Arabidopsis thaliana: one gene and its partner. The protein of the gene in region 2 interacts with the protein of the main gene of each other region in a biochemical or structural test. Each region holds a gene or a part of one and is shown on either strand. Other genes may lie near its edges. The genes, in order: PAB2 and LARP6c.

Region 1 (16,459 bases), on a different chromosome or scaffold from region 2:
GAAAGCGAACATTGATGAGGCTGAATGCCTCAAATGGCTTGACTCCAAGAAACCAAATTCAGTCATTTATGTTTCCTTTGGGAGCGTGGCTTTCTTCAAGAATGAACAGTTATTCGAGATCGCTGCAGGGTTAGAAGCTTCCGGTACAAGTTTCATTTGGGTTGTTAGGAAAACCAAAGGTATTGAAATTGACGTTTGAAGCCTATATTATATAGCTGTAATTTGGGTAGCTTTGATTTTAATCTGACACAAGATTTGGTGTGAACAGATGATAGAGAAGAATGGTTACCAGAAGGGTTCGAAGAGAGGGTGAAAGGGAAAGGTATGATAATAAGAGGATGGGCACCACAGGTGCTGATACTTGACCACCAAGCAACCGGTGGGTTTGTGACCCATTGCGGCTGGAACTCGCTTCTTGAAGGAGTGGCTGCAGGGCTACCAATGGTGACATGGCCTGTAGGAGCGGAGCAATTCTACAATGAGAAATTGGTTACGCAAGTGCTCAGAACAGGAGTGAGCGTGGGAGCGAGCAAGCATATGAAAGTTATGATGGGAGATTTCATTAGCAGAGAGAAAGTGGATAAAGCGGTGAGGGAGGTTTTGGCTGGGGAAGCAGCAGAGGAGAGGCGGAGACGGGCAAAGAAGCTAGCGGCGATGGCTAAAGCTGCCGTGGAAGAAGGAGGGTCTTCCTTCAACGATCTAAACAGCTTCATGGAAGAGTTTAGTTCATAATCTTCATATATATAGATTCTATTTAGAAATTCCATAGCAGAAGTAAGATGAAAGCTAATGTAAAATATAAGAGATATGAGTTAAATTCAAATGGCAGCAACCTCTACCATAGACATCACTCTAAGTCTCTATTATCTTCAGCATAATCCTCTGTTTTGTTAGGAGAAAATCAATGGTTCAAGATTCACTATTTTCAAATGCTAACAATGAATTTGTTGAACAATAATGGTGGACCACTAACCCACACAAGGCGAGTTGCAATTTGTATTCTTCTAACTGGTGGACCACTAACCCACACATTATTGTCTCACTTTCCTCTAATATACAGACCCAATCCATTAGAGAAATAAATAATTCCGTAAATGGCAAAACAAAAGTATAACTGTTTTTATTTACTTGGTATTTTTTCGTACATGTACAACAATAAAGTACTAGATGTTTACATAGACGATTAGTAAAACACTTTATTGTCATGATTAAGACATTTACCAAAATAATAAGTTAAACAACAAGCGACGTATGCAAAGACGTACCGGAAACAAGTGACGTATGTCACGACGTCAAAATCGTTATTACCCAAAATAGTCTCCCCAGAATTCAAGTTTCCGTGTGGATTTTATGTGCTATATATAGATATGTATAAAAGTATAAGCTCTTACCACATCATTCAACACGACAAGAAAACATCACTTTTCTAGGAGCTTCAAAATCTCTGATTTCTTTTTATTATTTTTTAAATTTTCTTTTCGATCAAAGTCAAACATGAGTAGTGATCCTCATCGTAAGCTCCATGTTGTGTTCTTCCCTTTCATGGCTTATGGTCACATGATACCAACTCTAGACATGGCTAAGCTTTTCTCTAGCAGAGGAGCCAAATCTACAATCCTCACCACACCTCTCAACTCCAAGATCTTCCAAAAACCCATCGAAAGATTCAAGAACCTGAATCCGAGTTTCGAAATCGACATCCAGATCTTCGATTTCCCTTGCGTGGATCTCGGGTTACCAGAAGGATGCGAAAACGTCGATTTCTTCACCTCAAACAACAATGATGATAGACAGTATCTGACCTTGAAGTTCTTTAAGTCGACAAGGTTTTTCAAAGATCAGCTTGAGAAGCTCCTCGAGACAACGAGACCAGACTGTCTTATCGCCGACATGTTCTTCCCCTGGGCTACGGAAGCTGCTGAGAAGTTCAATGTGCCAAGACTTGTGTTCCACGGTACTGGCTACTTTTCTTTATGCTCTGAATATTGCATCAGAGTGCATAACCCACAAAACATAGTAGCTTCAAGGTACGAGCCATTTGTGATTCCTGATCTCCCGGGGAACATAGTGATAACTCAAGAACAGATAGCAGACCGTGACGAAGAAAGCGAGATGGGGAAGTTTATGATTGAGGTCAAAGAATCTGATGTGAAGAGCTCAGGTGTTATTGTAAACAGCTTCTACGAGCTTGAACCTGATTACGCCGACTTTTACAAGAGTGTTGTACTGAAGAGAGCGTGGCATATCGGTCCGCTTTCGGTTTACAACAGAGGATTTGAGGAGAAGGCTGAGAGAGGAAAGAAAGCAAGCATTAATGAGGTTGAATGCCTCAAATGGCTTGACTCCAAGAAACCAGATTCAGTCATTTACATTTCTTTTGGGAGCGTGGCTTGCTTCAAGAACGAGCAGCTATTCGAGATCGCTGCAGGATTAGAAACTTCTGGAGCAAATTTCATCTGGGTTGTTAGGAAAAACATAGGTATTGAAAAAGAAGAATGGTTACCAGAAGGGTTCGAAGAGAGGGTGAAAGGAAAAGGGATGATTATAAGAGGATGGGCACCACAGGTGCTCATACTTGATCATCAAGCAACTTGTGGGTTTGTGACCCATTGCGGCTGGAACTCGCTTCTGGAAGGAGTGGCTGCAGGGCTACCAATGGTGACATGGCCTGTAGCAGCGGAGCAATTCTACAATGAGAAATTGGTTACGCAAGTGCTCAGAACAGGAGTGAGCGTGGGAGCGAAAAAGAATGTAAGAACTACGGGAGATTTCATTAGCAGAGAGAAAGTGGTTAAAGCGGTGAGGGAGGTGTTGGTTGGGGAAGAGGCGGATGAGAGGCGGGAGAGGGCAAAGAAGTTGGCAGAGATGGCTAAAGCTGCCGTGGAAGGAGGGTCTTCTTTCAACGATCTAAACAGCTTCATAGAAGAGTTTACCTCGTAATAAGCAGAGAATATGGCAGAGAAGAGGCTGTGATGGCCAAAGCCGGCGGTGGAGAAAAAAGGGTCTTCGTTTCTCGATTTGAATAGCTTCATTGAAAAGACCTCAGTAAGAAATTGAAAATTAGTTCGATTCTGCTTAGTCTTTGTCTTGGTGATAAGAGTAGACCTGTGCTACAATAAACATATATGTATCAAATATACCATTTGTCTTCAGTTCCGAGTCTGAGAAATGTTACTCCTAAAGTAACAAAAATTGCTTCTGAAAACCGAAAATTGACAGAGAATGGTTACATATATACTTATATCAATGGAATAAATAGATTTCGCTATTAACTATGGCAGATTCAGATCTGCTCCATCACTGCTGCTTCCTAGCTATGTAGAGTTCTCGGTTTCCCGTTTGATCTGCAGCGCAGCCCTTACAACGTTTCCCCTTGTAAGGATCCCAATCTTCTTGCACGGAAAGCAAAAAGAAGTGTTTAGAAACTGAAAAGATCAGACCAAAATCAAACTGCAGAAAGAAGAAGAATTGGGATGCTTACCAGTTTTCCATCAGCATCAACAACGGGTAATCTTCGGAACTTTGTTTCCAGAAGCAACCTGAAGACCAAATGGTTACAGTTCTTGTAAGAACGTTGCTTATAATGTCCCCAGAAAAATCTTATTGAACTCATTCCTCCTAAGCCTCTCAACTTAATGTTTGCAAAGCGAAAACATAAAGAAGAAGATACCTGGCTGCATCTTCTAAATTGGTAGAATCACGGACAACGAGAGGAGACGGTGTCATCAAGTCTCCAACAACTTTTCCATATGTCTTACTGATCAGTTTCTGTAGTTCGTTAAACGTCTGGCCAAAAGAGAATTCAAGCATTATATAAGTAAACCTCATTCCAAGGAAATTCATGCAAATGAAACAAACAATAGTCCTCAGATAAAGCAAAACGTAGATAAACAGATAGGGAGAAACATACTTTCCAGGTACTGTCGACATCAGGGAACAAGTTTGTATCATTTTGACTGCGACCTGTTACAAAGGACAAGAGGTTAAGTTGTTTTCACCAAACTGCGCCATACAAAACCATAAAACGTTCATGACAACAAAACTAAACATGAAAGCTATGTGCCAACAAAACTAAGATCCACCAGAAGTCCAGAAGTGAAATCCTACAAGTAGATTATGACTTAAGCCCTTCTTAACTGATTATAATGAAACTGAAAGAGTGGTGATCATCACACCAACAGAAGATCTAAGAATACTTTTGAGTACAAAAAACATGTATATATTACCAGAGATGGAGTCCAATGCAAGCAAATCGTAATCAGAAACAACACCAACCTGCAGGAGAAATTACAGCAGAGGAGTAAGTAAGACAAAGCATATTTTGTTAACTTCTAAATCCAATAAATCAGTAACTAAACCGACGTTGCTTGTTATTCATGACTAAGTTTAATCACGAGCTTGTTGTTCAAGACTCTAAACAGAGGAACACAATGACAAAAGATATAGTTTCTTAGTTTTACCAGTGTCCAATTATCGTCAATTACAGGCAATCCCGTGACTTTCTTCTCAACCAGAAGTTCCAACGCTGAAAGACAACCAAAAAGACAATTTTTACGAGACTAGTACAAGGATTGACTGTTAAATTCATGGAAAATCTGTTCCCGCATAATTACCATCATCGACCGACGTAGAGGGCTTAACAACGTGCAAATTCTGTCTCGGAGTCATGAAATCCCCAACTGTGTAACCTCCATTTTTTGCCTGAAACACCCAAAAGAGCCAAAACAAATCTCAAACCATAAGCCAAAAGGGTTATTAGGTAAATAAAAGGATTTATCTAAAAGGAGCAAAGTTGACTCACCGGAACAGAGTTATTATTATTAACGCTGGCAGGAGCAGCGAAGAAGGCAGAGACGGTGATTGACGGTGAAAAAGTGGAGGAGCGACGACGATTAGAGAGAGGAAGAAGAGAGAAAGATGAAGAAGAAATCGGAAGGAAGCTTTGATGATAGAGTGATGTAAGTAGTGGAAGTCGAGTTATGGGCATAGAATTGGATAAAGAGATTGAACCCATATTCGCTTATCCTCTGTTACTCACAGATTCCAATGAAAGATTAAATCTTTTCTTTATGAAATCTGAGAGAAGAAACAAAGGTAGAAAATTTTGTTGAAGGAGAGAGAAGTGAAGAAGTAGAAGAAGAGAGAAGCGTTTTGATTGGGTGGTAAAATTCGGAGAAAAGTAGAGAGAACTTGTGATATGATAGGTGGTGGTGGTGGGGACATAGCCACATATCAATTTTTGGTATATGGTTGATTGGTCGGCATATTTACGTTTCCTTTGGGTCCTCAATTTCAAAGCGATATTTTCCATCTTTTTTTTTGGTCAAAACTCAAAAGTCAGATGTTAATAAATAAATAAAAGTCCAATTTCGATTTAACAAGAAACCCTAATTTGAACCCTCTTTTGGTTTCAAGTGTTATTGGATTTTTATGTCGTGATTGTGAGATTGTTGAGTGTTGCCATCAGTTGAAATATCTAGAGATTTTGATAATAGTTAAACCTTTCATACACTCGAATCTTTTAAATATTTTCGAATTAGTTCACAAATATCATCAGACTCAATAAAAGATGTGTTGCTGGCTTTGCTGCATGTCAAATAGATACAAAAAAAAACAAGTAGACTATATAGTTCATGACGCAATGTACTGGAAATCAAAATTCATGTACGAATATTCTAAATCCTTGGCGTAGATGAAGACTTTCTTTTTTTTGGTAAGTAATTTCTCATTCTCAAATAGTTGCAGAAAAAGTAGTCCAAAAACCAGATCAATAACTGAAACCAAAAACAATGGTAAGATTTCAACCAAACAAGATGTGTATCATGTTTCCTTAGACCTCTACTAAGATTTCTATTCGACTAGTCCCAATCAATCTAGAAGCAAAGTGTATAAAAAGTTTAAAATGTATTTCTTTCTCATTCAAACATTGTCTGCTGAGAATGAGACCCATTCATCCATTTTTACCAGGACACCTTTTTACCATAAAATAGAGCTTGAAAAACTGGTAAAAAAAATGACTAGAAGCAACAACCACCAACAGTCAAAAGGCCAAAGAGGGGGATCACCAGCATTGGCCTTATTGGTAATCAAATTCATCTTCCGTGAACACTAGATCGAACAAGCTAGAACACGCAACTAAATCAAAAGAACAAAGCAGATAGGTTTTTCCTTTGTGGTTTAAAAACGAAGGTTTAAAATAACACAAACGCAGTTATGTGGAGGAATCCAAATTCCCAGGGAGAAAACGAATAGCAAAGAAACAACTCCAATTGTATGGGAGAGACAAAAGCCAAAGATCAAATGATAAAAAGCAATTTAAGAGAGGTTCAAGGAAGCGAGCTGCTCGGTTGCACCACCAGCAGCGACACTCCTGAGAACATCCATAGCCTCTGCAACTTTGGCCTTGAGAGCTTCTGGTGACTCCAACAGATGGAGCACTTCAGTCTGGTCCATCTCCAAAAGCATCCCAGTCACTTTGGCTGCAGACTCTGCCTCAACCTGCTCCACCAACGGGTACAGCACCTCACCCAGCATCTGTACAAACACACCCAAAGGGTCACATTATTATAATCCAAGCAAAACCAGTCTCTCTATTTGGTTTTTAAGAGATTCTCTCACCGTCCTCTGTTGCTCTGGAGTAGCATTAGACAGATTTGAAGCCAAAGCTCCAATAGTCAATGGCATGTTGTTGCCCATATCATATGGAGGCACATCACCACTACCACCACGCCCTTGGGGATACCGGAACATCCGACCCCTTGGATGCATCTAACCACCATCCAAACAGAAAAACCATACGATCAACTATTAAAAGAGAGCCAAGCAAGCAAAGCAGCCTTTATTGCAATTAAATAAGGAAAAGAGAAGAACCTGTTGCTGCATCATGGGATTTTGCTGCTGGGAGTGTTGGATTCCCCCAGGACGTCTTCCTCCTCCAGGACGCTGCTGCTGTGGCTGAACCATAGGCATGAAGAAACTGGGTACAGGACCCCCACCAGGTCTCATTCCAGGAACAAGCTGCTGTTGGTATCCATACCCAGGCTGTGGCATTGCATAAGTACAGGTTAATATTATCCCAGCAGTTTCAAAATAGATTTGGAAAGGCTCAAGTATGAGTATAGCAACTATAGAGCTAAAGAATTTAAAAACTTTTCATGTGACTTAAAAGCATCTGTCAGCTTGTAATTCATTATACCCAAGGTAGAAAATAAACATGTGCATATCTTTGTGTAAAATCGTACACGGCTACTTAAAGTAGAGTAACATGAAGATTACCTGGGGAGGAATCATGGCAGGAGGGGCCTGACCATAGAACATTTGTTGTCCAATACCAGGACCACCCGGGGGATACACTGGCATGCGGGGACCAACAGACGGCTGCATTGCAACTGGCCTCACTTGGGAAAACTGAGCCTATTCACATCAATGCAAATACTCAGCAGCAGGAGAAAAAAGAGATTTTTCTGTGATACAAAAATACTAGGACATATGTTGTTTATGCTTTATATATTGTTGCACTTGATTATAAAGAAGAATCAGCATCAGTATTGATAATTATACGCAGTGGGACATTCTAAGACTTGTACATGATGGGTCCAATTGTTTAGAGTTGAAACTCCAACAGGCAAAGTAGGAGTAGTAAGTGTATCACAAGACGAGGTGATTCCAAGAGAAGCAAACCTGTAGTCTGACCCTTCTGTCTTCCTTCCGCTGTGCAATAGCCACATAGAGTGGCTTGCTTTCGATCATTTTACCGCTCAACTGTGACATCTGTACAGTATTCCACTGTTACTAACAATCAAAGTCCTCATAAATACAATCAACAAGACGATACAACTGACTTACAGCTTCAGTTGCTTCTTCGGGAGTTGCGAAAGCAACAAAACCTGAGCCTTTGCTTGTTCCATTAGGATCCCGCATCACCTGTAATATTTAATAAAAGAACTTCTTAAATAATGAACTAGGAGAGTCAACTCACTACAAATAAAGAGAGAGAGAGAGGGACATTGAACCTTGCTAGATGTAACGGTACCAAAAGGAGAAAAGATCTCTTTAAGTTTCTCATCTGAAATGCTAGGATCCAAATTCTTAACATACAAGTTTGAACTTTGAAACTTGTCTGCAGCTTCCTTCAAATTCTGTTCATAACGGACCCTTAATTCTGTTTCCCTCTCTGACTTCTTCTGGGCTCTACCAACATACCACTCCTTATCATCAAATTTGTGCCCATTGAGAGACTCCACAGCCCTAGCAGCATCATCAGCATTTTCAAAGTTGACAAACCCAAAGCCCTTGGACTTCCCTTCTCCATCTTTCATCACGACAGCACTTGTTATCTTTCCATACTCGCCAAAAGCATTCTTCAAGTCATCATCGGTAGTACTTTCCGCGAGATTCTTCACATACACATTGGTGAATTTCGTTTTGTTAGCAGTGGAGTCTCTTTCTTGTCTCCTCAGGAAAGGACCCACATACACTTGCTTGTCATTGAGCAACATGCCGTTCAGTTTCTCTATAGCTTTCTGGGCAGATTCTTCATTGGCGTATTGCACAAACCCATAGCCTTTTGACTGGCCTGAAGAATCGACAGCTACCTTGCACGACACAATGTTTCCAAACGATGAAAAAGTATCATGCAGTGCTTTGTGGTCGATGGACTCGTCCAAATTCTGCATATTATAGCCAGGTTTAGCATCAGAAAGAGAGAAAGAACACCCAATAAAAAAACTTACATAACTAAAGAAATCAACTACTTTTGCCAGACTTTTCAATGAATAATACAAGATACAAATTTTTTCGCAACAATCATCTCGTCTTACAGCAACTCAAATGTCAGAAGGATAGAGACAAGCGTACCTTAATAAAAATGTTGCCAGCGCCACTTCGGCGAACACTAGGATCACGATGAGAATACATAACCCTAATAGGTTTTCCATAAAGAGGTATGTAATTCAGTTCTTGGATCGCTCTTGCAGCTGCAACAAAGACACGAGATAAAGTACCATTAGAAGACAGAAGTAGCATTAAAAAGATTGATTAAGCAGGGGATAAGCTTTCCAACAGCACCAACCACATTGCATACATACAAACACCATAAAGTATCAACATTTAAAACACACCTCATTCAAATCCAGTACTGGTACTATCGAGCAAACCCTAAAAATTGGAAATTGTAAGAAGAAGTCCAAATAAAATTAAGGAGACTAACCGTCTTGGGGATTGGTGAAGTTAACGTATCCATAGCCAAGAGATCGGCGAGTGACCAAATCCCTACAGACACGAACGGTGACCACAGTACCCATTTGGCCAAACGCATCGAAAAGCTGCGAGTCCGTCACATTGAAATCGAGATCCCCCACATAAAGCGACGTGTTACCAAACTGGGTCGCCGTTGCTCCACCTGACGTCGCCGGAGCAGAAGTGACCGCCGCGGTCGAACCATTCGGAGTCTGACCCTGAAGTTGAACCTGCGCCATTATCTTTTTTTGGATTTTCGAAACTTTTTTGACTTTTTTTGGGGTTTTAGTTACTCTTCCCTCCCCTCTCGTTATTAGACTGAAACCAAATCGAAAACCCTAGAATTTGAAAGAAGAAAAAGAAATCGAATCGAATGACAAAATCAACAAAACTAAAGCCAAAGTTTTTATCTTTTCGTTTTTTTTGTGTTTTTATGGGTATATCAGAGGAGAGGGAAGATGAAATAGGGTAAGAAATTGCCGGCGGCGAAGCCTGCGACGGCGAGTGAGATATTTGGGGGCCGAGAGATTCTAGGCGAAACAAGCACAATTACGATAGATGAAAAAGAAGCATTACGGTTTCTCCTTTTCTTTGCTTTTATATTATTAACCCAACAAAAAAAAGAAACCTTTAATTCCCCTAGAAGAACCCTAGGAGTGTGAGATTGATCTCAGCCGTTGGATCGAGTCTGAAGTAAATCGTAGGATTGATTTTAGAGTTGCTGGTGAATTGATAAGGTCGTCTTCCTTCTCGTCACTTTCGGAAAAGTCAAACAGATACGCGCGTGTTTGACACTTTCGAATCTAATTAGTAACCAAGTTTGTTAAAATTTTGTACAGTGATGATATTTTCTTTGATTTATCTTAACATTTCTTAACTCTGATTAGCAATATTCTCACTGGATCTTGATGAATTTTGATTTTCCTAAAGTAAAAGTTGTTAATATTAATATTTACCGCACGATTTTATATGGTATGCAAAAAGTATCTTAATTAAATAACCAATATGTTAAGATTTGACTTATCAAAACAATTCAACTTAATACACGATTGGCCTTCCAGTAGAATTGTGACACGAAAGAACATAAGATGAGAGATGAGATTTTGCAATACGCAATCATTTCAAAAAGCATTACAATAGAAAGTAGAAACACACAAGGCATATATATATACGAAGCGTCATTACTCATTTCTTAAGATCCTTTGGATATTATACACAAACAAAAGAGGATCAACGGGATACACATTGACTAGTAAATATTTCCAAGCCTAAGTTAATACGACTCAGTGCACAGTTTCTTTCTAAGCTTCTTGTTGGATTGCACGTCTGAGCCTTAAGTCCATTATCAACATCTCCCTAAAGTCCTATCAAGATACCATCTCCCGCATCCTCACTACTTTGGTTTTGCCAAAGCAGCTTCCCCAAAGTTATGGAGTCTCCGACCAATGAGATAACGGTCATCACGGATAGAGTTGTGAAGGTTTCTAAACCAGAAGCAGAAGAGGCTCACTGAGAGACAACCTATCCATGCGAATCTGTAGACCGCTGAGTTCACTACTAGCGGATATCCGAGCATTGGGAACACTCCTCTCGCCAACACATAAGGCACACATAAAGCCGTTAGGAGTTTCATCACAATCGGGAACACAATCTCTCTAAGTACCCATAACCCTTGAAGCATATGGGTCTGAGATGAACCTGATATGGACATCTATCTAATGGGGTTATAACATTCCTCTTATTTTTATTCTGTTGGAAAATAAAAAACCAAAAACAGTATCAACGAGTATGTCTACAATCACACATCGGCCAAATAGATCTTCAACGCCAATTCCTTAAGGCTTACATGCACTAACATAAGAGACAAAAGACAAGAATTTGCAGTAAGCGAAGGTATTCTAGAAGCATTATCATAGAAACACACAAGGCATATGGACAAACGAAGCATTATTCTAAAGATCTTTTAGTTTCGTACACAAAAACAAAAAAAAGAGAATCATCAACGGATATAATAATTTACACATCGACTAATAATAAATCTTTCAAAGCCATCTCTTAACGGCTTAAGTACACAAAATGTTAAACGCCTCAGTGCACAGTTTCTTTCTAAGCTTCTTGTTGGATTGCACGTCTGAGCCTAAGTCCATTATCAACATCTCCCTCTCGTCCTATCAAGACACCATCTCCTGCATCCTCACTACTTTGGTTTTGGTTTTGATTAGCTAAAGCAGCTTCCCCAAAGTTATGCAGTCTCCGACCAATGAGATAACGGTCATCACGGATAGAGTTGTGAAGGTTTCTAAACCAGACATGGCATCTTTTTGCACAGAAGCAGAAGAGGCTCACTGAAAGACAACCTATCCACGCGAATCTGTAGACCGCTGAGTTCACAACAAGCGGATATCCGAGCATTGGGAACACTCCTCTTGCCAACACATAAGGCACGCATAAAGCCGTTAGGAGTTTCATGACGATCGGGAACACAATCTCTCTAAGTACCCATAACCCTTGAAGCCTCGAGAAGCCATCTTCTCTTACCCGCTCAAACTTTGCTCTCCAGCTATCATCCACTATTGGAAGCATATGATCCAGCATTACCTGTCCATTGACGTTGTTTTTTAGTGACAAAATATCTTCTTCTGCGGAAATAAGTTGCTGATTGTTGGAGAAAATTACTTACCAGTCTAGTCCAGATTTTCAAAAAGATGAGCCCAAGAGCCCAGTCTTGATACAGGAGGAACACAGGGCTTTCATCAACTGGGACTCTCATTGGGACAATCACCAAAAGCTCAAACAGAAGTCCAATTAGCACCGGAATGATAAAAACCTGTTCAATCACCATTTGAAAAGTACAGAATCCACATTTAGTAGAGTTTAGAGTTTCTCGTATATTGAAAATTTAACAGCACAAAACACTTACCCATATGGCTAACAGCACCGAGCTCTTGAATACAATCCCACACCATTTCCATATTTGGTTAAGCAAGACTGAAGTCCTCTTTGACTTGACATGCTCGATAGCATACCTGGCCCCAGATATGGTAGTCCAAAAGGCATATGTGCCAATGACGAAAGCATACAGATCTACATATTTTTAGGGAATACTGTTAATAATGTGTAACCCGTGCCAAAGAATGACTCAGAAGATCAAAATTAACAAACATTACCATTGCACTTGATGCCATGAGTTATTGGAAGAATGGGAATGGCACTGAATAGAGCACGTCCCAGCGAAACTGGCACAACTATCAATGCTGAATTGAAGAGAAGAAGAGTCACCCATGCAACAAGTAGAAGGAGAATTATCCGGACCACAAAGTTGTACCTGCTAAAAATATACATTCATATCAGGGGAAGCCCTAATGGGAGTCTTAAAGTACTTAGTCAACTCTATATACCAAGCGAAAAGTCCTGTTAATTTATTCAAGTATGCCAAAATTCTTAATATCAAACAAGCTATTAGCTTATTTTTAAAGTAAGAACTTACTCAGAATCAGATTGTTCGTCATCATCTTCATATTCCTCACCCGTGTTGACATTCCCAGCACGGAGGCGACTTCTGTTAGGGTCATCAGCTACTGGAAGCGCAGCCATGGCCCTGTCAGGTCCTCCGACCTGCAACACTTGTGCTCTGTTCTGCCTTCCTGGTTCACCATTTCCATTGTCCTGACCAATGTTGTCTTCTGGTCTTGGCAAGAGGAAGTCTGTTAAACCAAGCGCCCAACCAACCCCAGTGAACCAGCAGCGTAGAAGGGACTTAATTGTGGTCCGAAGTCTGAAATGCTCGATGATAAATGGAATGCATATTTGAAACAGAAGCATGTCGGCGGGAATCTCAGTGAATGGGTCGGATACACTGCATATATGCCCAAGTTAGGAAAGACCTAATCAAACACAAAATCTCCAAAAACAAGAGGTTAGTCAATATTTCTTACGATATGTCAAGTGGAAAGATTGAAGGAGCCATCCGGATCGCAAGTTTGACTGGTAAAAATACCAGCATCACAATCAAACTTCCATACACTGCAACTGATAACAGTACCCTCCGAGCATGCTTGTGCACTGGATCATCAATCAAATCTCGGAATGGATTGTAATTAGGATCTGCTGGATCACGAAGGAAATACAGAACTCCAGGACGAAGAACCTGCAATTGGCACAAAGTGAAAAGATATATTTAGATAGCAGCAGCGAAAAAAACTATTTCTAGAATGAAAATGAGTAGGGACAACACAGTACCCCTCGAAGAAGGCTGACGAAGATGCTTATTTGCAACATGTACATGATTCCAACAACCCAATGAACAAGTGAGCTTGCCAGAGGAGAAATTGATAAAAACTGTACCCTGTGGGACATTGTTTTACCGAACATCCTAACAGTGCAAACATCTAGCCACCAACCACACATCAGAGGAAAGACCCCAAGCTCGATGACCAAAAGAAAGGCAACTTTGATCATGGTCATCAGATGCCTCATTGCTGCCAAGAACTGTCTAAGGAGGGATGGTACAGCTTCTACTATAGATGCAATACCATAAAATCTTCCAACAGTCAGTGGCTCACCCTTGGCATATCGAATCAGTGCAATGATCCCAAGGTAAAGGAACACCAGAAATACGATAAACATGTACCCAACAGCCAGAGTTGTAATATCAGAAAGCTTTGAGGCCCCAACAGTAGAACCTTTCAGGAGATCAGTAGCAACTGATAGCGTATTGTTTGCTCCATTCAATTCACTTCCGTTGACTTTCATCATTTCAGTGAGCTGACCAAGCAGCCCATTTCCTTGGCCCTCGCTAGTCAAATTCGAGACAGCAGTCAGCGCACTCTTCAGAGTAATATTTTCCAATGAGAGTCCGGTATCTGTAAGATGCAATGATGCAGCCACAGCAGGGCCTCTAGCAGCAGCAAAAAGCCATGACACGTGATACAATATAATCCGTCCCAAGGTAAAGGGCACGAAGATAACAACACCAAGGAATATCATATTGCTTGCTAGAACCTGCAAAATTATGCACATCATGAAGATTTAATAAGGGCCAATAGTGAAGAAGAAGGAACATAGAATTTAAAATATACATTGCCAAAAAGTAGAAACATCAACTTACAGTAAAGGCATTCTCAACCAAATGAAACACTGGACCTTGCATTCCAACCAGCTCATCAAATGGAACGTCTTCTGCACCATCAGCGTCATCCAACCCATCAAACATCTGTTCAACCTGAGCCTCAAGACGAGCTGCTTGTATGTCCAACCTTGCCAGAACATTTTCAGGATTCCTTCTAGCAATCTGACCAACCGCAGCACCCTGATCCCCAGCATCTTCACCATTCCCCTCTCCAGCAAGATTCCTATTAGCCTGTCCAGCAGGTCTTCTTGCAGCACGAGCACCATTTCTGTCCACATCATCATCTCTCTCTTCTTGTCCCCCAAGCTCTCGTAAGTGCCTAAAGTAGTCCCTTAATGAAGTAGCTCCAAGGAAGATGAAGACAATACTTGCAGATAGTAAGAACCCATGCAAGCAATCAGTGAGAATTACTGTGGTGGAGATGTGGCTTAAGAACAACCTTTGAGCTTCACCAAAAGTTCGCACGAAAGCCAAACGCCATATCCAAAATGTAATGAAAGGTATAGTGAGAAGCCAGACAGAAAGCACAAAACTCAACCGCAGAAAGAACTGTAAAACATGGCAAGCTTTCATAGCAATGCCAACTACAAACTCCTGGAAAGGGAGCCTTGACGGAGCATTGTCAGCATATACTGGGGAGAATGAAAAAGGATGCTTGCAAACCTGCAGAGATGAAATTAACAATAAGCACGTGTTCTCTTCTATGTGGAACTCCTACTTAAGAAACACATATTAAAAGAGAAGACTTTAAACTGTCAACGTTGAATATGAGCACACAGAAATATGCAATTGCCCATTCATTTACCCATATCAAAATTCCTAAAAGGCATTCAAATCAACACGAATCCAGATCTTAATTAGAATACGAATCTTCAAAATCTCAACAATCAAATAATAAAGAGGAAAAGAAACAAAACCTCGCATTGACGAGCGTTGCTGTGATTAAGCCACTGAAGGAGACAATCCTGGTGAACAAATTTGATACTTCCGCTACAGGCACACGGATACCGAAGCGGATTGTCTGCATCACCAGGATTTCTGCAGATCCTGCAAACGTCCTCTTCATCTTCGTCATCATCAACGTACCTCGATCCTGTCGCCGTCGAAACTGCAGGATCCATGTTTGAGAAAGGATTGGGTGATGCCTGATTCGGCGAGGAAGAGGAAGAAGAAGAAGATACGGAAGGCTCGGAGACGACCTCAGAAGCAGCCGCGCCAGAGATGGACAACGAATCGGCCGGGGAAATCTCCATAGAGAAATCCGGGCTATGAATTACGTATTGCGCAGACGGTGGTAACGGAGACGGCAACGGCGGAGCGAGTCGACTCGGTGAGTCTGATAACGCCGAGCTAAGAGGAAAGGCGTCGTCTATCGCGAATAATTATTATCCTCGAGAATTAAAATAGAAAAAGATCGGAAAAAAAATCAAAGACACCGAGAAAATTGATTATATGGTAGGCCTAACCGGGTCTTGTAAACCGGTAGTTGACGAAATTGACCTTCCCTCTTGCACATTTAATGACGGTTTTTGTCGGTTACGCGTCTTTAGTCTTTGTTGGGTTTGGGCCTTAAATTGTAACAGACTAAGCCCATCTCATTTTTTTTTCTTTTTTTTTTGCTGAATCAGAAACAAAATCAATGGCTATCTTTTGCTGCTACTGCTGAATTACGAAAATTCTGTGAGGTTGAGGAAGCAGAGTGAAGAGAAAGATAGAGAGATAAGAAGAAGCCATGGGTTCGATTTCGATGCACATAACTCCCTCTACTGCTCTCCCTATACGCCATTTCAGAGCTAGAGTCTCTTGTTGCTCTTCTGGTAATTTCGTTTTTCCTCCGTTTGTGAGAATTGCATGTGATTGTCGAATTATAGTAATTGTCGATTGTTTGATGGCTTTTCAAATCGAGAAAATGCTTGAGCTTATATCTTTGTTGAGTATTTTAGAACAATCTTTTGTAGGAAAATGCAGTGACTATGACTGTCTTTTTGATTATTCTTGGTGGAGACAACAAATTAACAAAAGAATGTGTAATAATTCTTCCAAAGAGACACATTGGGATTGACTTAAGATTAGCGTTGTTGTGTAGGGCATGTA
Region 2 (15,119 bases):
TCAAATGGGATATCTATTTTCTTATAACCCGCGATCCAAGGATGCACTGTAAAAACCGGAAAAAAACGTGGAGTAACTTCAACTGGTGATTCATGAAAAGCTAGAAACAGAAGATAAATATAGAAAGATGTGGATATTTTAGAGATTACTGACTCAAAGCTTGAGATGCAGTCATTCTTTTCCGAGGGTCCTTGTACAATAATCTCTTAACAAAATCTTTTGCCTCAAAGGATAACGAAGGCCAAGGAGGTTCATCAAAACTGGGATCAGCTTTTAGAACTGCTCTGAAAATTCCTGATTCAGTTCTTGCCCAAAAAGGACGGCTTCCACATAGGAGAATGTATGCTATGACTCCTATGCTCCATACATCCGCTTCTGTGGTATAAGATCTGTGTAGAACTTCAGGGGCTACGTAATATGCACTTCCCACTATATCATTTAGTCTTTCGTCTGGTCTGACAAAGTCCGATAAGCCAAAATCTATGACTTTCAACATAGAATTCTCCTCCTTGGAAGTGTACAAGAAGTTCTGAAACATGAAAGTGTTTCAAATGTGAGATTGGTATTCAACTAAGACAATATTTCTTTTGGGTTTTGAAAGGAAAAAGCAAAGACAAAAAGTGCGGTTCACCTCTGGTTTTAGATCTCGATGAACAACTCCTTGGAGATGACAGAAAGCTACGACGTTAAGGATCTGTATAAGCACTGCTTTTGCATCATCTTCAGAGTATTTTCCTCCCCTGTAAGAGAAGTAAATTTGAAATAGTTAGACAGCCAATAGAACATCTCTAAGAAGGATCTCTGACCATAAGTTAACAAATGTCATAACAATCTTTAAAAGCAGACCTTGCTAGTATCCTGTCAAGAAGTTCACCACCTCCACATAACCTGAAAGTTGAAAGAAAGTAAATGTTTATTCACAGCTAAACATTTTGAAGTAAGCCAAGTCGGGAAAATAAGAATCTGATAGCTCTCCTAGTAGATTCAACATGACACAGGAATATATAAGCACATGATTGTCTTACTCCATAACGATGTAAACGTTGGCATTGTCCTCGAACGCATCATAGAATTGTACCAAATTTTGATGTCCAGATAACGCCCGCAGTATTTTCACTTCTCTTCTCACATCCTCTATAGATATTGCAGATGTCATCTGCCAAACCAAAGCTGATGAGAAACAGTCTATTGTGGATTAAGCTAACACTAAACCTATCTGTATATTACACCAACTAACTCGATTACATGATTAACTTTCTTAGTCATCAAATAAGGACCATCAAAATTTCAATTGCTTAATGACAATTGACAAAAGCACAAATGTCCATGTTCCAATTTATTGACCAATTTAAAACGTTTAGAAATGTTCACAGAAAAGTCAGCAATGCTAATCTACAACCATTGAAAACTTGGCTATTGAAAAACATGGATGAAACATAAGTGTCATTGACAAACTTCAACCTCATCTGTGTTCGCTATTACTTGTTTTTGTATTAATTTCTATGCGTGAAAGTCTACATACGCTATCAATTTTTTCAAAAAGATGGCTCAAACAAGAGGACAGTAAGCTCGTAGAGAAGAACAGAAACATCTCAAGAGACCGTAATGATCAAATTACAGGTTCATCATGAAGCAAAAGGAGACTATGATGGTTTGTTCTTCTACCTTGAAACAGTTTAACATCTACTAAACAAATCAGACAAGACACACAAAGAATCTTCAATTTGTCAGATATAGCTATCACTACAATGATGAAGCACTTGAGCCAATTGAAGCAGAAAACTTAAGATGGAAACTTGAGAATTTGGAAAAAGTAAAGCTGTAAAAATGACCTTAGATTTTGGGATGACTTTAACAGCAACCTCCTGATCTTTGAGCTCTCCTTTCTTGAACTTAGCAGAGCAAGTATACCCAAAATGCCCTCTCCCAATCTCTTCCCCTAGCTCAATCCTACTCTGTAACTCCTTGGAAAACCCAAATCTTTTATCCAGCCCTACCTCTTCCCTCTCCTCCTCCTCCTTCTGCTGCCTCGCCGCCGGCAGAGCAGCCTCCTTCTTCTCCTTCCTCCGCCGCAGAACATCCCGTATATGTCTCGCCGGTGACGGAGGGTGGAAAGCACGCGCGAGCTGACGGAGAGGAGTGCTGGTAACGCTCTTACTCTCTCCTCCTCCGCCGTCGCGGCTCTTGTTACGGCGGTGCCGGGCGGGACTAGGCGTGTAAAAAGGGAAAAAAGGAGAGGCCTTTACGGCGGGAGATGAACGAACCGGTGATTTCCCGGGATGAGCAGGGGTAGAATCGTCATTTTGGAGAACCGCGTCTTTGGGTGCGTAAGGATTAGGTTTGACGGAGGAGGAAGGTTTGGAAGTACAGCCTCCCATATATCCTTCTCCTTCTTCTTCTTCTTCTCCGGTTCAAAGAAATAAAAAAAGACAGAAGAAGAAGATATGGGAGTTATGTCTGGACTTAAAGAGAATCACAGCAATGACATTGAAGCACTCTGGTTTGGTTTCAATGTAGTTAGAGAGAGACAGAGAGAGAAGAAGTGAGCTGTAGAAGAGAGAGAAGCCACATGGCAGAATCTGCGGGTGGTGAAGTAGCTTCCTTCCATCTGATGAAGAAGGTTAGATTTTAGATGTGGATTGGTCGAAATTTAGTTTGCTTTTTGCCACGTCTTTCTACTTTTGTCCCTCTTTTTTTTTCTTTTTAATTCACAATATGTTTGTTCTTTCTCTAAGCAATACTATACGTTTTCTTTTGCTTTTGTATTTTATCTATCATTATTTTTTGTCTTTTTTTCTTGTCTTTTTTGTTGTTGATATTGTCTTTTTGATATCTTATTGGGAGAATAAAAACGTTTTGAAATGTATTTATGGACGTTATCATTTTCAAAAGTGGGAATTAAAGATAACTTTTAAAGCTCCATCTTGTGATACTACTAAATTAAATATTTTATTACTAATTAACTAGGGAGGTTATAAAAGATACAAATAATATTGCTCTGAAAATCAGGATTTACGTTATATAAATTGATTGGATGTACCTGCTTGACCCTTTTTGAAACATGCTGATGTTGTAACCTAACAACTTCATTGTATCTGGACAGGTCGTATATCAATTTCAATTTTTAATAAGATTTCATCATTTTCAAAATATTTGATCCACATCTCTAAGTTCTTTTTTTCTTTTTCTTACTAACTCTTGATTTGAAAATCTCTCTCCAATACCAATCGTTAAGATCAGTTTAGTTATCATTATTTCTATCTACCAATCGGTACGTAATTTAGTATAGACTATGAAGTTGGTTTACTGATATTGCATGTTTGGTTTCATGTAAATACATGTCCAACAATTTCCATCCTTTGAAGGTTTTCTATTAATTTGGGAGTAAAATTAGGTTTTGTTTCAATTAAAGATTATACATTTATTATAATTAATATGATACTATAAATTAGTTTGTTTGACAACTACCATAGGTTATGAAATTACTAGACAACCTTGGCAAGAACTTTTGTTATCTCAATACTCATTTGTCTTTTCACTTATTTTTAGAAAAAAATTGTACATTGAATCCATTTTTTTTTTTTTTTCACAACATTGAATCCAATCTAAGGTCATTGAAAAATGTCTTTTCAAGTATTGGGTTTTGTAAACAAAATCCAATCGAAAAATGGCAATTATTGTAAACAAAACCCACTTCCTTATATTGATTGAGATGAATAATGGATTCAATAAGTGACTCCGCCTTCTTCAAGGTTGTTAAAGAATTGTCGAATATGTCTTAAAAATTAATATATATCAAACCGGTTAAAAAACCATTTGGGAATGTCAATAGATACAAGTTACTGGAATTAGTTAGGATGCAAGAAGATAGTAACATTTTACCTGATTATTTCCTTTCTTGTGCTTGTGCTTTTTATAAACTATTCATCATGTTTTTTTAGTTTTTCTTTAGAAAGAAAATTGATTAGTTTTCAAGTTTCACCCAATCTTTCAGTCACTTATTCAAATCCATTACTCATCTAAATCAAAACAAAGAGTTGAGAGGGTTGCAATTCTTGTGCTATATAAATTACCCCTTTATTATTCAAATAATAATCTCACAAAAATAAAACATATTAAACATACAGAAAAGAAATTGCCTCAAAAAATGAAAAAAGTTATATAAAACGAACCCTCAAAAAACGTCACCGTGCCTTCACTATCTTCTCCCAAGTCATGTGCCTTGCTTCTTTTGAATGCATCTTAGGAAAACCAATCCATATGTATTATTTGGTTAATTAACTCTAAAATCTTTTACCTCTATTATAATAAATCAATTATAAATAGCAGTCCTTGTGGTGGGTAACTATTTAGAGATTGTTAGGTGAGAGTGAGATGGAAGGTTTGCCACGTCCCATGGTGAAGCCTCTGGTTCCATCAGGCATTCTTGGTCCCTTTGTTGCTGTTTTAGGAGACGAAGATTCGTGTGACCCCAGGCTGGGTATCCCGAGGCTGACTCCGAGCCCAATCCCGAAGCTACGTCCTCCTCCTCCTACTGCGTAGCTTCTTGGGGATCGTCCTCGTCCTTTTCCTCTCCCTTTACCCCACAGTCCACCAACATTGTTGTCATCACCCTAACGTGCACAGCAAGAAAATTTAGTTTCTATATATATATGGAAAAACATTTCGTGGGACTTAAGCAACAGTACTAACATCGTTATCAAGCTGTGATTCGGTTAAATGGAGACGCGGAGAGTCTTCTCCTGATTCATAAGAAGGGAGTTCATCATCGATGAGGATTCCATCGAAGTTTCTTCGGTTCTTGAGCACCGATTTTGGCTGTAGCACACAAAGTATATCAACGAAATTAATCTCAGAACGTCTAGAGAGAAATGTGTGACTTAAGAAGAGAATATAGAAATCAACCGAGCATCTAAGAAGCAGCCTCACACGAAGCCCTTTCCTCCAGTTTCTTTCATCGTTTAGCTTCTCTACCTGGTAAGATCGCATTTGCTATATATCTCAGAAACTAATAGACAGAGCCTTGGATCAAAAGATAGTTGAAAGTAGAGATTTACTCACTGCTTTGTCCGCGATAACAGTGTTGTCATACTCGATAAGGGCGTGAATCTTTAGAGTAAAACAAGATGGATATGTTAAGCTCTTTAAGTTGACGTGATAAGTAGAAACAGGACTTGGTACTTACTTTGTTGCTCATCAAGAAATCGCCTTTTGGACGAGACGAGTTGGATTCTGGAGGATGACATATACGAATCGCTTTGACGCTGAGACAAATTGCATCCAGAGTTGTTGTTTATTGATGTAGAGAAAATGTTTAAAATGAAAGTAAAAAGCCTTCTTACTTTCCAACAACTCCAAAGATCTTCTCAAGGTTCTGGTAAGAATGATCATCTGGCAAATTCTCTGCAACGACAGTCCGGCCCTGCAGAACAGTAAAGAGTAACAAGAACTCATATATAGTTGATAATAAATACAATGAAGCTTTAGTGATATTCAAATTTACCTGCAATTCCTCTCTGTCTCTATCAGTAAATTGACTTGTACGCTTAACTTTCTTGCCGTCTTCACTCACAACCTTAATTGTGTTCACAAAGATCTCTCAGTATACTTGGATCTTATAATATTTAGTTGGTAAGTCGAGAGTAAAGAAAGAAGCAGCTTACAAGTTTTGAAGAGGAGCGTAGAGCAAGTGAAACTAGGTGGTGATTACTCGTTAAAGCCTTGATCTTCTTGGTCGAAGCGATATAGGATACGGGCACTGCGTTTTAAACATATATATGAATATGCAAAACAGAGCAGAAATCTCAAGGATCATATTTTAAACATATATATTAATGCAAAACAGAGCAGAGATCTCAAGGATCATATACAAGTTAAATGAAAAAAAATTTAGGCTTACCATAACCTTCAGGGTCTTTGCTTATATGCTTTGAAATGGACTCGTTGGCTAGGAGACTCATGTCCGTAAACTGGTACTCAACCTATAAAAGTGGTTTCTTGTGAGTCAAGTTAGGTTTTCTATTTTATGAAAATTGATAGGCTAATGTAAATCATATATGATCTTAAGATCTCATGACATAATGATTTTCAATATTTTACCTATCATTAAAGTAAAAAAAAAAAAAAAAAAAAGTGAAAACCTGTTTGACGATCTTAAGGCGGAGATCATCGGAAAGCAGATTCTTCGACGAAGAAGACGAGTTCTGACTAGCCGGAAACTGAACCGCCGGATTCGAAATGTAAAACGCAGCCGCTGGATCATGAACATGTTGATGCTGAGCAGTAGGATCTCCTCCTCCCACGTAGATCCAATCCGACGACTGAGTACCAACGCCGGTCCCTCCACCACCGCAGACTCCGCCGCCACATCCTCCTATGCAACCACCGTTGTAATGAAAACAAGGATAAAAGTAACCGGAGACAGGAGAAACCTGCGGTGCTGGTGCGGTGGTATGTGATCGCGGTACAAATTCCGGCGCTTGAGCGTTGAATTTGAACGCCGTTGCCTGAGCGCCGGAAGATCCACCGCCTCCGTCTAATCTTTTCTTCTCCGTCGTGACGGACTCTACTTCTTCTCGCTGCATCTGCGCCATTTTCCTCTCACTACTCTGAAAAAATCTCTAACAATTTTTTTTTTGGTTTTTCTTTTTTGTGTAAACTATATTTTTTAAGTTAATTTTTTTTTCAATGTAAACAAATATCAATACTGAATAGTTTTGAATTTTGTTTATACTTTTTTTCTATTGATTTGATTTGTTCTTCTCGGTTATTTCTCACTCTCCCAATAATATTAAAACATGGGAAAACTTTTGAAGCCTTGTTTTTTCGCGCAAACTATGGATTTTTAACGAGATAAATAAGCGTCCACGTTTGACTGTGTATTTAACTCTCCTTTTTTTTTTTCTCTCAAATTATTTAGCTATCTCTTTCTAAGTAATAACACATTTTGTTACATATATAAAATGAAATTTACACAATATACATTAATAAAGAACTAATATAAAGATTCATATTGCTTTTGTTCTGATTTGGTATTTTTTTTTGTCATTATAATTGACCATGTAATGTATGTTTTATTTGTCGACCCATATTAATAGATAAAAAAATGTTAATTTTACTTGCTGACTGTAAATTGCTAAGTTTGGAATCACAAACAAGACAAAAGCCCAGGGTTGATTTTGTACTTTTGTTGTCTTCCCGATTGCTAAGTTTGGAATCACAAGAAGTTGTGATGCAAGAATGTTTCAATTCTACTCGCCGTAAAATTGCTAAGTTTGGAATCGTACAATAGTGTACTTTTGTTGACTTCCCGATTTAATACCCAAATTTAGTTGATTTTGCCATTTTGATTGAAACATTGTAGAGAACATAACCGAATGATTTAAACCAAAATGTAGAAAACAACAAATGTTACTCATGTCTCCATATTTATCATAACAAAAGATTTCTAAGTAGATATTCATGAATGACATTTTCAGTGGATAATGATCTGACAACGCGGGTAAAGCTTAGTGAATTTAAGAAGCTCCTTGAAGATATCTGAATCTTGGTTTGCTTTAGAAAGATCTTCAAAACACAGAATCAGTTTCTTGATGAGAACTACTGAATTCTCAAGAAAATATCTCACTAGTTCCTTCACGGTTTCTTCCATGATAATCACTCTCTTGATCTCACCATACTGCAGATTGATCTCAACACTCTCCAGATTCAATAACATACACTGAGGCACATGGCTAAGTTTGATTTCCTTTGCCTCTCTTAAATCAGAAAGCACCTGACAATATATATCCAACAATTAATGTACTTCCTACTAATTAACAAAATCACAGATTCAAACAGATTCTTACCTATATGAGATTTTTCAGGTTCGGGAAGCTCTCAAGAAAGGATGGAAATAGTTCTAACATGGATCTAGAGAGTGTAGCTTCCAAACGAGTCAAGTTATCAAATTTGGGAAATTTCCGTCCCAATTTGGAATATCGAAAGAGGACCTACACGAAAGAAAGAAACAAATTTACATCAAGGAAGATCATTAAACTATATTTGAATGCTAGAAGTATGCATGGAAGTGAATATATATTACCTCTAGAGTAAGCTTAGAGATGATCATATGTCTCACACTAGAGATACCAATGAGAAAATCGCGGATAACGTTTCTCTTTCTTGGACCCAAAGTTTTCCCATACTTAAGATGAAAGTCACTATTGATATCGACCATGGAAAGAGAATTCAGATTCTTCAACACAATCTTATCAGATTGACTATCACTGAAAGTCATACACTTGAGTGCTGGAGCATCAATCTCAACTGCAAAAGCTTTACCAGTGGTATTAAACTCAAACGCGAACAGAAAGCTCTTTAAAGTCTGAGACCTCACACGCAGAGAAGGCATAGCTTTGTGGCGCTCATCATCAGGCAGAATTAAGGCAAAGTCTTCAAGAACAGGACAACCTGCGATGAGTTTCTCCATCATCGTACGAAATGTCTGCAAGATGCATGCTCTTGAGACAAGGAAGAGAAACACCAAGCGGGGGATCCAAATCCATAATCCCTACGTTTGCAAGCTTCAAAGACACCAATGTGTTGCTGTTATAATTCAGCTCAGTCATGTAATCTCGGCCAGAACGATCCATAAGAGACTCCACATCTAAATGTTGGACTCCGCGCTCAACCACTGTTTTGAAAAGAATACTTGTCTGCTTTCTCTAATTCTATCATTAGGTATTTAGAGTTTCTAGTTATTGAAGTGAACTATTGTCAATTGGTTGGTAGAATCATGTGTAAAGCCACAATTTTCGTCAAATGGTCATGGTCATTTCACGGCACGAGAATTTGAAACATGAGCCATTCTATGCAATAATCTTTGACATGTTTTGATGGTAAAGTTTTGTAAATTACTAATAACTTTAATAGAGAACTTAAACTTATATGAGATTTAACAAAACGCTATGACCAACTGCTGAGCATATTCAATCAGCGACAAAACCTTGTAACAACATTTTCGGATTCTGATGCATAACAAAATTCACTGTACAACTAAGAATATGCAAAACGAGGAAATGATCAAAACAATTGGTTTGGTCTTAAAACATATATTATCCTTGAATTTGGTTTCTGTCACTATATACCAAAAAGGGCAAACATTTGAAAGAACTCAAAAAGGCTGCACTTGCAAGCAAATTCAGAAAACGCAATGCTTACAAGTCTCACAATCGAGATACCTTTTTAGTCTTTAACTTACCAGTAAAGTGAAGGAGGAGACCAAATCAAATCCAAAATGGCTTTGTCGCGCGTTACAAGTCCTGAACCGACCTCTACTGATCCAAAAAAAATGTCCAGGAAAGGAGAACTGGGTTTTGCCTACGTGGAAAACTGGCTACTTCCTAAAGAGTCATTGTTCGGCCTTGATGAAGTGGTTGGTCAGAAGTTTTGAGACTGATGTGTCTTCGAATGAATCAACTTCAAAGAGTTCTTTCAGCTTCTCATCGCATATGACTCTCCTCTTGTCAGAAGGATCCTAAGTTAAGAAAATGGTGTAAAGAAGCAGGTAAGTAAGAAAAAACAGAGTGTAGAGAGCAAATGGCATACCTGAAGATCATTATGATTTATGTACTCCCACAATCTCTTTACCACATCCGCCCTCGACAGCGAGTTTTCTCCATCACCCAAGAACTTGACAAGAGCATCTGAAAGTGGAAGGGGAGCAAGAACTTCTTTCTTCTGCTTTTTATCTTTCTCATTTGGTTCCTCACTATCTGTGTCTGACCGAATGCATATGCTTTGTTTATACAGTGATGAGAAATGGGATAAGTTTAAATTCATCTAGCTTTCTTACCTCCATCTGATTCCATTTTTTGCTTTCCATTCTTTGGAGACTTAGAGCTAACTGATTCTCCTAGACCAGAGACAAACAACAGTTAGTATACGGTTAAAAAGCCTAAACCGGAAAAAGATGGCTCCCAGAACATGTAAGAACTTCCAGTCATCAAATACCTGCATTATCCTCTAAAGGCCATATGTGCTTTGTTAGCTGTTTATTCATTTGAAACATATTGATGGACTCGACAGGGAACAGAGATCGAAATGATTCGTCGCATATTATAGAGCGTTTATCATTCGGATCTTGTAAATTGTTCTCCTTTATGTACTTCCAAAGCAATTTCACAACCTGAAACCATTCACCAGACAAAATGTCAAAACAAGAGACTTGGTTAAGAAAATTAGACAAGTAGCTTAGAAATTTAGGCTCAGAGCTTGAGTTCAATAACGAAGAGAAACTGATTCCCTCGAGTCAGACATGTACCTCTGTCCTGGCTAATTCTGTCACCCCAGTAAACGCCTGAAGCTCTGGCGAGAGGCTGCAAACTTTAGCAAAGCCGCCTCCTCCTTTTCTCTTGGGCTTCTCTACCGACTTGGCTGGCCTATTTAATAGAGAAAACTTAGTTTATGGGCACAGGGTGGCGATAACTAGCTGTACAATTACAAGAACTGAGGGAGAAAGAGAAAACAAACTTTTTTCTCTTGCGTTTCCGCAAACTCCTAACTTCCTGCTCTTCACTTTCTTCTTCCTTATTCTCTTCCACTTCTTCGCTCTGCTCCCCTTTCTTATCTGTTCCCTCTGATGCCTCATCTTCATCTTCTTCTTTCACATCGTTAGCACACCCTGGAAAAAATAAATCATTTCATTGTACTTGGGTAACACAAACTCAGGAACTGCTGTCTCCAACCCGAAATCTATAATACTGTTTTACTAAACAAAATTGATGTTCATTAGAGAGGTCTCTTGAACAAATATATAAGCATCCTAACAACTCAAACGCTGAGGGAAAATATCAATATTCAACACTATTAACAGTTGATGAACACTATTTCCACACAATTACACATGATCACTCTCTACAGTGGGGTACTTGATTTCAGACACATGATACAATGACTGACTGAACAGGAAGACTAGGGATATTTAGCTGATCTAGCTATTTAGGATCAATGACTGACTGAACAGGAAGACTAGGGATATATATACAGATATCATGCAGTCTCATGTGAAAGTTTTCTGAATTGTATAATGACAAGGAAGAATTACCATCTCCATCACCTAAGGGCCAAATATGCTTGGTTAATGCCTTGTTCATTTGAAACATATTAATGGTCTTAACACGGAACAAGGAATGCAACAACTCGTCACACACTATCTTCCTCCTATCCTTTGGGTCTTGCAAATCCTTCTCTCGGATATATGCCCACATTTTCTTCACAACCTGATAAATATACACAACACAAAAGACTAAAGTACAATTCCGCTTCGCAGAACAGTTGTCGGAAGAAGATGAAAATTACCTCGGTTCGACCTAACTGAGATGCTCCAACAACTTTCTCAAGTTGTGGAGATAACTGAGATACTTTGGTAATGCCACCACCTCGCTTCTTGGCCTTTACTGGCCTAACACATCAATGAACAATAATCCCTTAAACTTAAGTCATTAAACAAGTGGTCTTTGATTAGAAATGCATCGGAAGCATTTTGATTGGTTCGATTGAAAAATGCTAAAGATTCCTATAAATACTCAATCTTTGTGTGTGTGTATGATCACTGATTCATCGATATTTGAATTTCAAAAATCCAATTTCACATAAAGCACAATCATTACAAGAGTAATTACCGTTCTTCCTTCTCTTCCTCACTTCCACTTCCATCTCCGTCGAGGTCTTCTCCATCGCCTCCTTCAATTTCCGCCTTGATTTCGTCGGCATTAATGTATTCTTCTACCTTGGGACTCTCAGGTTTGTCTTCTACCGCGCCATTGCTCTCGAGAAAAGTATCGATTTGATCCCTAATATACGCTTTTTTATCTGTCAAGTCCACACCGAAATCCGCCTCCAACTGACGACGGACGCTTGCCGGAGTCGCCGTGTTCAGGTCGGAGCTACCGAGAATCTCACGGAGTCGGGTCACGAGGTCCAAGTCGGAAACCATTTTTTCCGTTACTGAAGAAAACAAAAATACGAAGCGGCTGATGAAAGCCAAAAACGATTCTTTGAGGTTGAAAATGAGAGAGGGCATTTATGGAATTTACAAATCGTAACCTCGTCGTTTTGCTACTTCAACCTTTTTCCTTAATTATTACTACGCCTTAGATGTGTTCGATTACGACCATAGTTAGAAACTTATGTAATTATGATTACTTCAACCTTTTTCCTCGAATTAGGTGTGCACCAAAAAAATAAAAAATGCCTAGGTGTTCCATTACAAGTTACGACCATAGTTAGAATATATTTATGATAAAAATTAACACCTTTATTGCATTTTTGGTTATCATTTGCTTGGAATAAAAAAAAGAGTTGGATATTTCTCTTCTAGAAGTAATAGTTTCATTTTAGACCAAAAAAAAAAAAGAACTAGAAGTTTCATCACCCAAATATTTATTTAAAGATTGTAGTTTTGAGCAACTCATAATAATCTTTCTTCCCTGAGGTCATATCTGCCTAAGAAGATTAGACCACAATATGAACAAACATGAAAAACTTTTGATTCAACGAATCTAAATGTCAAGACATACCCTTATGGGGGGAGAGAGGCTGAGACTTATCTGTCAAAATTAAGAAAAGAAGGAGAAGCTAAACAAATTTTTCTACAGCCTGCACCAGCAATGGTGGTCTCTCTTAAGGTCCCTTACAATATAAAAAAAAAAAAAATAATTAAAATGGAAGGGACACAGGAGAGAAGGGCTCCAAAAACCCTTATATAAGGGACCTGAAGATTAAATGTACATGTGTAGGTTTTTTAGTTGTCAAACTATGTTAAAAAATTAAAATATTATTATTTTTTGGTTTTTTAGGGACTGTCATCATCCCACCCATTGGGGTTGCTCTAATAGATTGTGATAAATGATCACTCATGCGTACAGTAAGAATGTTATTATGGTTAACTTTTTTTTTTTTAATAACTCCAACATTAACATAAATTCTATTATGATATAGTAATTGTTTGTAATATGCAAGATTAACAACAAAAGAAAAAGAAACGTTCTATACTATCACTCTTTCTATTTAATCCTATCTCTCATCTTCAATATTTTCTTCACTCCAAGGCTAATTTGTCTGCAATAGCCTTTTGACGATCCCGCAAGACTTGTAAGTGGCTACGGATCTGGTCACCAGTGAGACCCTCTTCAGAAATTAGTTCGTTTATGGCTTTGGGTGTTGCACCTGAAAAAAAAAAAAAAAATTAGGAAAATAGTTAGGAGTTGAAAGAATAAACAAAATAAATAAAAAAATTATAAAGTTGCATACTGAATAATCCCCCAAGTCTGACAACTGCGTCATCAAACACTAGTTGAAGCCTATTTGTCCACACCAAGTCTGGGTTTCGGATTGGGTTTGGGATTGGGTTAGGGTTAGGATTAGGGTTAGGGTTTGGGAATAGAGCAGGTAGGCCTGGAGAGATCTGTGGTATTGGGTTTATGAAATTTGGTATTGTTGGTTCTTGGGCCTGCGGACGGAGAAACGGGTTAACAAACGGTGACGGAGAGGAGGATAAAGGTGACGGAAAGATGTTACTAAGCCGTGCTCGCTTAGATGATGATGATTCGGGTGGCTGAATAGAGGATGATGGTGACGACGGAAAGAATTCCCTCAAAGATGGTCGATCAGACGAATCGGGAGGTCGAACAGAGTATGGCATTGACGACGGAAAGAACGAAGATGTTGCGAGAGTTGAAGATGAAGATGGCTGATGAGAGTATGACACTGACGACGTAAAGAATTCCCTCAAAGATGCGGGTGGTTGAAGAGAGGAGGATGACATCGACGGTGGTTGAAGAGACGGTGACGATGATGTTGCGAGAGTTGAAGATGACGGTGGTTGATGAGAGTATGACACTGATGACCGAAAGAAGTCTATCAACGGTGCGGGTGGTTGAAGAGAGGATGATGACGATGGTGCGAGAGTTGACGATGACGGTGGTTGAAGAGAGGAGGATGACATCGATGGTGGTGGAAGAAAGTTCTGACGGAGATCCATAAGTAGAGCAATTTCTGCGTTTCCAAGACCCAACAAGATTTGAGAATGAGAGAGGAACAACTTTAAATTACAAGGTGAAGGAGAAGAAATTAACCTGCTTCTCTCGCGGTACTCCGATCTTGAATTATCTTCGCCGCATCTTCATCTTCATCTTCTTTCGTCTCTTCATCCAACTTTTTTAAATGCTCATCTATCTTCACGATTTTCTGAGAATGTGATTCAATAGAACTTAGCTCTTCAAGAAACTCATCAAGATTAGTCATGGCTTGCAACTTAAGAAATTTGATTCATCACGTTCTATATATATATAGGAGGAATAATTTGCAGATGGAATCACAAATTTACCCTCTCTAGAGAGAGCAAAAATACCCATACTGTTGAGAATTACTAAAAACCCACATGTTATGATGTTAACGCAGATATCAATATAAATGTTTGCTCTAGCAATCCAAGGAAGTGAGCTTTATGAAAATCGAATTCAGGCGTACAGAGAACTGATTACTTTCTTGGAAATACATGTTTCCAATAATTATACATCATGCTGCATGCGTGTGATTTTTCTTATTTTCTCCATTACTTTGCTAACTCTAAAATGGTCTCAAGTTACTTTGCTCTCAACTTTTAAAGCTATCAACTCCAGTATAAAATAAATTAATAAATATTATACAACTTAAGGTTATGTAACATACCAAGCAATTAGGACGTACATTAATTGGTATATTTCTCCTGATTTCATATTTGTAGCCTAACTAATAAAACTGCAATTATTTTATATTAAAAACAGCGTACACGGTACATCAATGCAGTTTCTAGCTTCGTGCATGGTGAAAGTTGTTTTTGCGGCCGATCTGATTTTCATAAAAAAAAAAAAAAGGATTTTCCACTATGAATCGGTTGCTACAAGCCTACAACTTTTCTTCTTAATATATGAAGCATTTATAATAATAAAAATAGGTACATGCAGATCAGATGATAAGATGTCCCATATATATAGATAATACCCTAGCTAGGTCGGGTTGATGTTGAAGAAAAAACAAAACCCAATTAACCGCGTTTATTGCATGTAGCATGAAGTTTATGTGATCATCAGTTCTCA

The links.
Region 1: the proteins of LARP6c (region 2) and PAB2 interact in a test that uses a peptide from one of them, tested with the Arabidopsis thaliana proteins (one study listed by BioGRID).

What each region holds. Positions count from the first base shown.
Region 1 is NC_003075.7:16,329,749-16,346,207, reverse strand, and holds PAB2 (poly(A) binding protein 2), read right to left. Parts: upstream 9,918-16,459; 5' UTR 9,477-9,917; coding exon 9,209-9,476; intron 8,976-9,208; coding exon 8,857-8,975; intron 8,670-8,856; coding exon 8,013-8,669; intron 7,924-8,012; coding exon 7,846-7,923; intron 7,771-7,845; coding exon 7,681-7,770; intron 7,414-7,680; coding exon 7,276-7,413; intron 7,042-7,275; coding exon 6,871-7,041; intron 6,769-6,870; coding exon 6,619-6,768; intron 6,535-6,618; coding exon 6,316-6,534; 3' UTR 5,894-6,315; downstream 1-5,893. Other genes in the region: UGT73B2 (UDP-glucosyltransferase 73B2), read left to right, coding at 1-179, 269-732; UGT73B3 (UDP-glucosyl transferase 73B3), read left to right, coding at 1,495-2,940; LEJ1 (Cystathionine beta-synthase (CBS) family protein), read right to left, coding at 3,315-3,389, 3,482-3,539, 3,671-3,786, 3,911-3,963, 4,227-4,275, 4,461-4,525, 4,614-4,701, 4,802-5,014; CER9 (RING/U-box superfamily protein), read right to left, coding at 11,344-11,835, 11,918-12,064, 12,158-12,321, 12,405-12,565, 12,725-13,093, 13,173-13,384, 13,477-14,238, 14,345-15,028 and 1 more; AT4G34090 (cyclin delta-3), read left to right, coding at 16,098-16,344, 16,452-16,459. UniProt on the Arabidopsis thaliana protein: Binds the poly(A) tail of mRNA. Appears to be an important mediator of the multiple roles of the poly(A) tail in mRNA biogenesis, stability and translation. In the cytoplasm, affects both translation and mRNA decay.
Region 2 is NC_003074.8:6,592,940-6,608,058, reverse strand, and holds LARP6c (RNA-binding protein), read right to left. Parts: upstream 6,619-15,119; 5' UTR 6,594-6,618; coding exon 6,141-6,593; intron 5,982-6,140; coding exon 5,900-5,981; intron 5,759-5,899; coding exon 5,664-5,758; intron 5,576-5,663; coding exon 5,343-5,575; intron 5,265-5,342; coding exon 5,186-5,264; intron 5,110-5,185; coding exon 5,062-5,109; intron 4,975-5,061; coding exon 4,906-4,974; intron 4,819-4,905; coding exon 4,693-4,818; intron 4,614-4,692; coding exon 4,350-4,613; 3' UTR 4,137-4,349; downstream 1-4,136. Other genes in the region: AT3G19100 (Protein kinase superfamily protein), read right to left, coding at 1-46, 154-529, 632-740, 847-888, 1,026-1,156, 1,833-2,378; AT3G19085 (F-box/RNI/FBD-like domain protein), read right to left, coding at 7,848-7,991, 8,084-8,473; AT3G19080 (SWIB complex BAF60b domain-containing protein), read right to left, coding at 9,392-9,517, 9,589-9,761, 9,836-9,895, 9,994-10,168, 10,304-10,421, 10,513-10,663, 11,087-11,261, 11,341-11,443 and 1 more; AT3G19070 (Homeodomain-like superfamily protein), read right to left, coding at 13,082-13,209, 13,294-14,037, 14,118-14,286; AT3G19055 (uncharacterized protein), read right to left, coding at 15,117-15,119. UniProt on the Arabidopsis thaliana protein: Transcriptional regulator.